Arabidopsis thaliana: one gene and its partner. The protein of the gene in region 1 interacts with the protein of each later gene in a pairwise test. Each region holds a gene or a part of one and is shown on either strand. Other genes may lie near its edges. The genes, in order: AT2G33830 and NPC4.

Region 1 (3,487 bases):
GAGTTATCAAACCAAATGTCACTTGGTGTGGCATGAGCTCAAACTGATGAGATTCCTGTACATTATGTCATCCTTCTTTTACTCAGTTATAGATTTAGTACGTAGCACCTAAATTCTTTGGAACTCCATTCCTATCCTTTACCGATAATGGAATAAGGTTGGAATGGGAGCTTGGTGGAGGAAATGTGTACACATTGTAAAACTCTTCAAAGCTTAATTTATGCTTAAAACAGTTTTCTTTTACCTTTGGGAATATGATTTAGAATGTGATCTTTAGAAGTAATGTGATAAAGAATGGTTGCCTTGGAAGCAGAGGAAAAGAGAAAGAAATGGAATAATGTTGAGGTACGTTTCCTAACTATTTGATAAGTAATTTAGCTTTGTGAAACCAAGATTTTTCAAATTAGAAGTTAGTTTTAGTTTTGTATTTCTCCATCAATATAAGTAAAACCTCTGTAAATTAATACTCGGTAAATTAATAACCTCTATAAATTAATAATTTCTTCCAATCCCGAGGTGAGACTAATGGAAAAAATGACATAAATCGATAAATTAATAAGATAATAATTTTTTTGAAAATCCTATGTAAATATATGGTCTCATTAATATCACAAATTAATAATTGCAGAAATGTATCAACTATATATACATTATATGTAAGAAATTTCTTTAAAATATATTTCTAATATTTTTTTTTGCTTAAATTTGTATTTATTCTTATTTGATATTGAGTTCTAATATTTTATTGTATCAAAAAATTTTGGTGTTGTTTTCTAAATATGATATTACTTTTTACTTGTAATTGATTCTTAAAAAATATTTTCTATAATGAAAAAATCTTAAATTTTTTTTAAAAGTTAATAAATTAGAAAAATATCTCTATAAATTAATTAATTAATCGATAAATTAAAACCTCTATAAATTAATATAATTTTTCGGTCCTAACATTATTAATTTATAGAAGTTTTACTGTAAGTAGAAAGTGGTTTTTGGTTTAGGATAAAGTGCATACGTTTTGTGTACAGTTTTGGAATTAGTTTTATCTTTTTCAAACATTTTAGTGAATCATTTGGACTATGATCATTAGGACATCATGAACTTATTATCTATGGTGGGTTTGTGGAAAACTATTTGATTAGAGTTACTGTTGCTTAATAATATTAACTTCACAAAATAATCAAAATATGTTTGTTGTTCCTATAATACTTTTCCACGAAAGACTTGGGATTCTTTTGATTTAAGGGTCCCTACACTTTATGACTCGTCGTCCTTATCCATATCTCCAGCTCTATACCCACCTTGCATTTTTTTTATTTCCACACTTCTCCCTCACTGCTCACGCTTCTCATGATCAATGGTTTGATCTATATTATAACATTAATGTTATATATTAAGGTCCTTTAAAGTAGGCTTATCCACATCCTAATTTCCAAAGATGGCGTGTATTTTAGCTCTAAACCCTGGAAGTTGCATGTTATATTAAAATGTTGTAAAATGACATATTAATACATAACACACAATTTACAATTATATTATGTATTCATGTTGTTTATTGACAGAGAATAATAACATTTTGGCTAAACGTATCAAATTTTAACGAAAATTCTATGTGCAAGTATATAAACTTCATTTGGTAATTAAGTTATCAATTACTTGTCAATTATTTCTAGTCTATTATAGTATTTCTCTAGATATTTTGTGGGTCAAATAAAAAATGAGAGAACTAGTCGACAAAGGAAAAGAGATATTTTTACGAATAGTTTAAAAATGAGTCTATAAATTAGATGAAGGAAGCCCTTTAGTAAGTACTTCACACTTGACACAATTCTATCCAAAATCAACCCAAAAAAAGAAAGAAATATGTGGGATGAAACTGTAGCCGGACCTAAACCGGAGCATGGCCTTGGCCGCCTCCGCAATAAGATCACCACCCAACCCCTTGACATCAAAGGTATTTATTTTTCTTTGTCAACCATAACTCCGTAATAAACTTGCATATACAGATCTTTGTAGAAACGTATGATCTCATAATTATATCATGTGATGGTTTTTGGAAGGTGTAGGAGAAGGGAGCAGTAGTAAAACTGTGGCGGCGGTGGCCGGGAGTCCTGGAACTCCGACGACGCCAGGATCGGCGCGTAAGGAAAACGTGTGGAGAAGTGTGTTTCATCCAGGAAGTAACATCGCCACTAGAGGAATGGGCACAAACCTCTTCGACAAGCCTTCTCACCCAAACTCTCCCACCGTCTACGATTGGTACGTACTCAGTTTCTGTTATTATTATCTGACCGGACGGTGTAGATCAGATCTAAGATGGTTTGACCGTTGTTGTGATCCCGCAGGCTATACAGCGACGACACTAGGAGCAAGCACCGTTGAGCCGAGAGGGTAGAGTGACATGAGAATGATGTAAAATAATTATGTTCTTTACGCCACGTGTTTATGTTCTGTTTCGTCTATTTTGGCTATATGTGCAATCTTTTATTTGCTTCATGTCGTTTGTGTTTGTTAGTGACCGTTGATTTCCACCATCTGGGTTAGTTTTTAGCTTTTAACGGTGGCGATGCGTCTTCAGTGTCTTGTAATATTTTTACTGTTCGGTAATATTACAATTAGCTTCTCTAATGATTTAGCTAACAATATAACTTAACTTAACTATAATTAGCAAAATGGAATTTAACTTAACCATGGTTGATCTCATATCATTATTTTTATTTTATTTTATTTGTTCATCATTAAAATATCTCAATCATGCATGGTTAGATGAATTCGTTGTGTCAACAAACAATTATGATAGTGATTTGATTAAATTTTAACTGAACTATGGTTGATCTCATCTCATTAAATAACAAAAACATAACAATGGTTAAATGCATTCTTTGTGTCAACAAACCATTATGATAGTGATTTAATTAAAGTTTATACATGTCTTTGGATACAGTTGTAATTTTTTATATATATTTTTTTGTCTGATTTGATATAATTATACAAAGTTACACAAAAAGAACCAATCCAAAGCTCAGGGATCAACCTATTTTAATCACCATGGTTGATCTCATCTCATTAAATAACAAAAACATAACCATGGTTAGGTGAATTCTTTGTGTCAACAAACCATTATGATAGTGATTTAATTAAAGTTTATACATGTCTGGATACAAATGTAATATATATTTAATTTTTTGTCATCTGATTTGATTAAAGAAGAAGATAGAATACAAGGTTACACAAAAAGAACCAACCCAAACCTGAGTCCTGCGGGATCAACCTATTCAAAGCACATTTTCAATACAAGGGGAATATACAAAAGAAGTGTCTCCACCTACACAAAAACACACAAGTTCATAGAGAAGAAAGAGATCTTTCACCATTAAACACACGTTACACACCTTGCAACCAAGAGCTACATACAAATGGAGCCGTAAAAGTCATTAGTTATACTTTGTGCAATGAGATTAGCTCCTTTATAAGTCACTTTGGATTCACT
Region 2 (3,939 bases), on another chromosome or scaffold:
AGATCGAGTCCTCAATGGAATGAGATTTTATTCATTATAACATATGACGAACACGGTGGATTCTACGACCATGTCCCTACTCCCCTCGACGGAGTTCCTAATCCGGATGGTATCTTGGGACCTCCACCGTACAATTTTGAATTTAACCGGCTCGGCGTTAGGGTTCCGACTTTCTTCATCTCCCCTTGGATTGAGCCTGGCACAGGTAAGTATGTGGTAGACAATAATTTAATTATACTATAATGTGTTAATTAAATGACAATTTTTGGTAAAATGTGTAGTTCTTCATGGGTCAAATGGGCCGTACCTAATGTCACAATATGAGCATTCGTCAATTCCCGCAACGGTCAAGAAAATTTTCAAACTCAAAGATTTTTTGACAAAGAGAGATTCGTGGGCTGGCACTTTTGAATCTGTTATTACGAGAAACTCACCAAGACAAGATTGCCCTGGTAATTACATTTTTTCATTTCTAATAAATTCTATCAAAATTTGTGATTATTTTGAATAAATACTTCGTTTTTTAAAAAAAAAAAGAAACATTGTCAAATCCGGTCAAAATGAGAGGGACGGTGGCAAAAGAAAATGCAGAATTGAGCGACTTTCAAGAAGAGCTTGTAATAGTTGCTGCGGGTTTAAAAGGAGACTACAAAAACGAAGAATTGCTATACAAACTATGCAAAAAAACTTGCGTTTCAGATGCTTCTAAATACGTTACGAAAGCGTTTGATAAGTTTGTAGAAGAGTCTAAAAAGGCAAGAGAAAGGGGAGGTGATGAGAACGACATCGTTTTTTGCGTTGATGATGATGATGATCATAATGTTGTGAAACCACCACCATCACAATCAGAGCCATCACATGCTACTCCTTGGTCAAATTAAAATCTGATCGTCTTTTTCAATAAGTTAAACATTTGCTTCGTTTGTCATGATTACTGGACTGTATAAGAAATTTTCATTTAGTTTTTTTTTATGTAGTTTTTGTGTGAAGAGTCAATAGTAGTGTGGATCTATCAAATGGCCCCTATTGAATTCAATTTGTTTTCTAGTAATTGAACCTAAATGCTGGCGTAAAAAGAACAAAAGAAACAAAACTGCTGACATAAGTCGTATAAAAATTGTGACTGGACATGCCAACATAAACGATCTAGACTCGAAAAACAAAAAAAAAACTTAGGCGCGACTTTGTATTCCTATTCTTGTATGGCACGTCACAAAATTGTTCGAGTACAAGTTACTCTTTCGTCACTACAAAATGATCGGTAATAAATGGACACCGCTATTTTAGACCAAGTACGTTTTAGGAAATCTAAAAAGATTTATCGTGGTACAATAAAAATAGGTTGGTGGACTGTCACAATTACAAGCATAATACAAATTGTACACTAAAAATTAATTAATATCCCACCTTGAATCGAAGATCATACGAATTCTTGTTTCTTTTTTTCACACGACCACGAGTATTATTTTATTTTATGAAAAGGTATCAGTATCACTTGGAAGGAATATGTACTGTTAATAGAAAAAATTAAATCAAAACGATAATTGTTGTCTTTATTTAATTTCCCATGTGTATTCGCATATTCTTTGGTTGATATAGAATCATACGCATATTCTCGTTTATATTCTTTGCCGTAACGTGTGTTCTTGTTTTTCTTGACAATTTTCTTCTCATGTTTCTTGTCTGTCTGAAGGTTACAAGTAAAGTCTCAACGTCAATTTTTTTTTTTTTTTTTGAAAACAATGTTAAATTATATTCAAAGAAAAAATAACGTTTGTACAACTAGTGCGTCGTGAGTTTGATATAGCTAACAGTACACAAAATTCTCTCTATATATATATATATAATGTACTTTTAATATAAAATCAACATACAAGCTAATTAGAAAGAACTACATAGATGGTCTTGAAAAAGTGAATATTCTTGACACAGACCAATTTCAACACAAGTAATTAAAAATAAATGTTGTCGTAAGAATATCAACCTTGCCACAAATTATAAATTTCCAGCTTATGGGTGCTGGTAGTTGCGTCAATTACTATCCTAACAAATTTAGTAAAGATTTTATTTCCCTCCAACTTTATTTGACGTTATACCAATTCAGTGGATAAATAACCCATGACGACGTGCATACTTATGATTTGCTGTTTACGTCTTCTTCAAATCTCCAATGATCACTACGTATATATTTATATAAGTATAACCCCCACGAATTGTTTCTACCCAAAACGTTTAACATTCGAAAAAGAAAAGAAACGGAATGATCGAGACGACCAAAGGCGGTTCAGGATCGTATCCGATCAAAACCATCGTCGTTTTGGTTCAAGAAAATCGTTCTTTTGACCACACCCTAGGCTGGTTTAAAGAACTAAACCGGGAAATCGACGGCGTCACGAAATCTGATCCCAAATCCAACACGGTTTCGTCATCCGACACAAACTCTCTTCGTGTAGTCTTCGGGGATCAGTCTCAGTACGTTAACCCGGATCCAGGTCACTCCATTCAGGATATCTACGAACAAGTGTTTGGTAAGCCATGGGATTCAGGTAAACCGGATCCAAACCCGGGTCATCCTAACATGTCCGGTTTTGCTCAAAACGCCGAGAGAAACAAGAAAGGGATGTCCTCCGCGGTTATGAACGGATTTAAACCGAATGCTTTGCCGGTTTACAAGGAGTTGGTTCAAAATTTCGCCATATGTGATAGGTAAGCCGGTTCGGTTCATCCTGATCTTAATTTTGAGTATAGTTTTCCCGGTTTAAATCAAATTTGGTTCACATTGTATACTTGGCAGGTGGTTTGCGTCGGTTCCAGCGTCGACGCAGCCAAACCGATTGTACGTACACTCGGCAACATCACATGGAGCAACGAGCAACGACAAGAAATTGCTACTCGAAGGGTTTCCACAGAAGACGATATTCGAGTCTCTCGATGAAGCTGGTTTTAGCTTTGGCATTTACTACCAATTCCCTCCTTCCACTCTCTTTTATAGGTATTTTTATCAACAATATATACGTTTTATTTGCTTTTCCTATTGAAATCGTTTATTCAGATATTAATTAATCTAGTTATCTTTAGCTTTATAAGAATTGTATAAATTTTGTCTCTTTTTGGCTATTTCCGTCTATCATTTTATAATGGGTGTTAAATCAAGGTTATTCTTTTGTTTTGGATATCTAATAAATATATCAAACTGCAAGACTCGTTTCAGTTTATGAACAAGTTTCCTTCGTTGTGCAGATTGTAAAACCTTCTAATTAAAACATTAAGATAGTCGTATATATAAACAAAGTAAATCTTATAGTAAAAAGGATAATCATACAAAATATATATATATATATATATATATAATTGTATTAATAGTTTACTTTTTAGGAATTTGAGAAAGCTGAAATATTTGACACATTTCCACCAATACGGAATACAATTCAAGAAAGATTGCAAAGAAGGAAAGCTACCCAACTACGTCGTGGTCGAACAACGTTGGTTTGATCTATTGTCAACTCCAGCCAATGACGATCACCCTTCTCACGATGTCTCCGAGGGTCAAAAGCTCGTGAAAGAGGTCTACGAGGCATTGAGATCGAGTCCTCAATGGAATGAGATTTTATTTATCATAACGTACGACGAGCATGGTGGATTTTACGACCATGTACCTACTCCAGTCGACGGAGTTCCTAATCCGGATGGTATCTTGGGACCTCCACCATATAATTTTGAGTTTAACCGGCTCGGTGTTAGGGTTCCGACTTTCTTCATCTCTCCTTGGATTGAGCCTGGCACAGGTGAACATAATTACTAGTCATAGGCATTAATCAAATTTAGTGGTCTTATATTTTCTAATCAAGATATTAATGTTTAAATCAAAGTAAATGACAATTTTGGTAAAATGTGTAGTTATTCATGGGCCAAATGGGCCGTACCCAAGGTCACAATATG

The links.
Region 2: the proteins of AT2G33830 (region 1) and NPC4 interact in a two-hybrid assay, tested with the Arabidopsis thaliana proteins (one large-scale study listed by BioGRID).

Annotation. Positions count from the first base shown.
Region 1 is NC_003071.7:14,308,660-14,312,146, reverse strand, and holds AT2G33830 (Dormancy/auxin associated family protein), read left to right. Parts: upstream 1-1,538; 5' UTR 1,539-1,860; coding exon 1,861-1,951; intron 1,952-2,057; coding exon 2,058-2,256; intron 2,257-2,342; coding exon 2,343-2,379; 3' UTR 2,380-2,663; downstream 2,664-3,487. Other genes in the region: FES1 (Zinc finger C-x8-C-x5-C-x3-H type family protein), read left to right, coding at 1-2.
Region 2 is NC_003074.8:843,292-847,230, reverse strand, and holds the start of NPC4 (non-specific phospholipase C4), read left to right. Parts: upstream 1-2,134; 5' UTR 2,135-2,260; coding exon 2,261-2,706; intron 2,707-2,794; coding exon 2,795-2,992; intron 2,993-3,375; coding exon 3,376-3,785; intron 3,786-3,897; coding exon 3,898-3,939. Other genes in the region: NPC5 (non-specific phospholipase C5), read left to right, coding at 1-205, 282-452, 538-881. UniProt on the Arabidopsis thaliana protein: Non-specific phospholipase C (PLC) which assumes major PLC activity during inorganic phosphate starvation. Substrate preference is phosphatidylcholine (PC), but can also hydrolyze phosphatidylethanolamine (PE) with lower efficiency.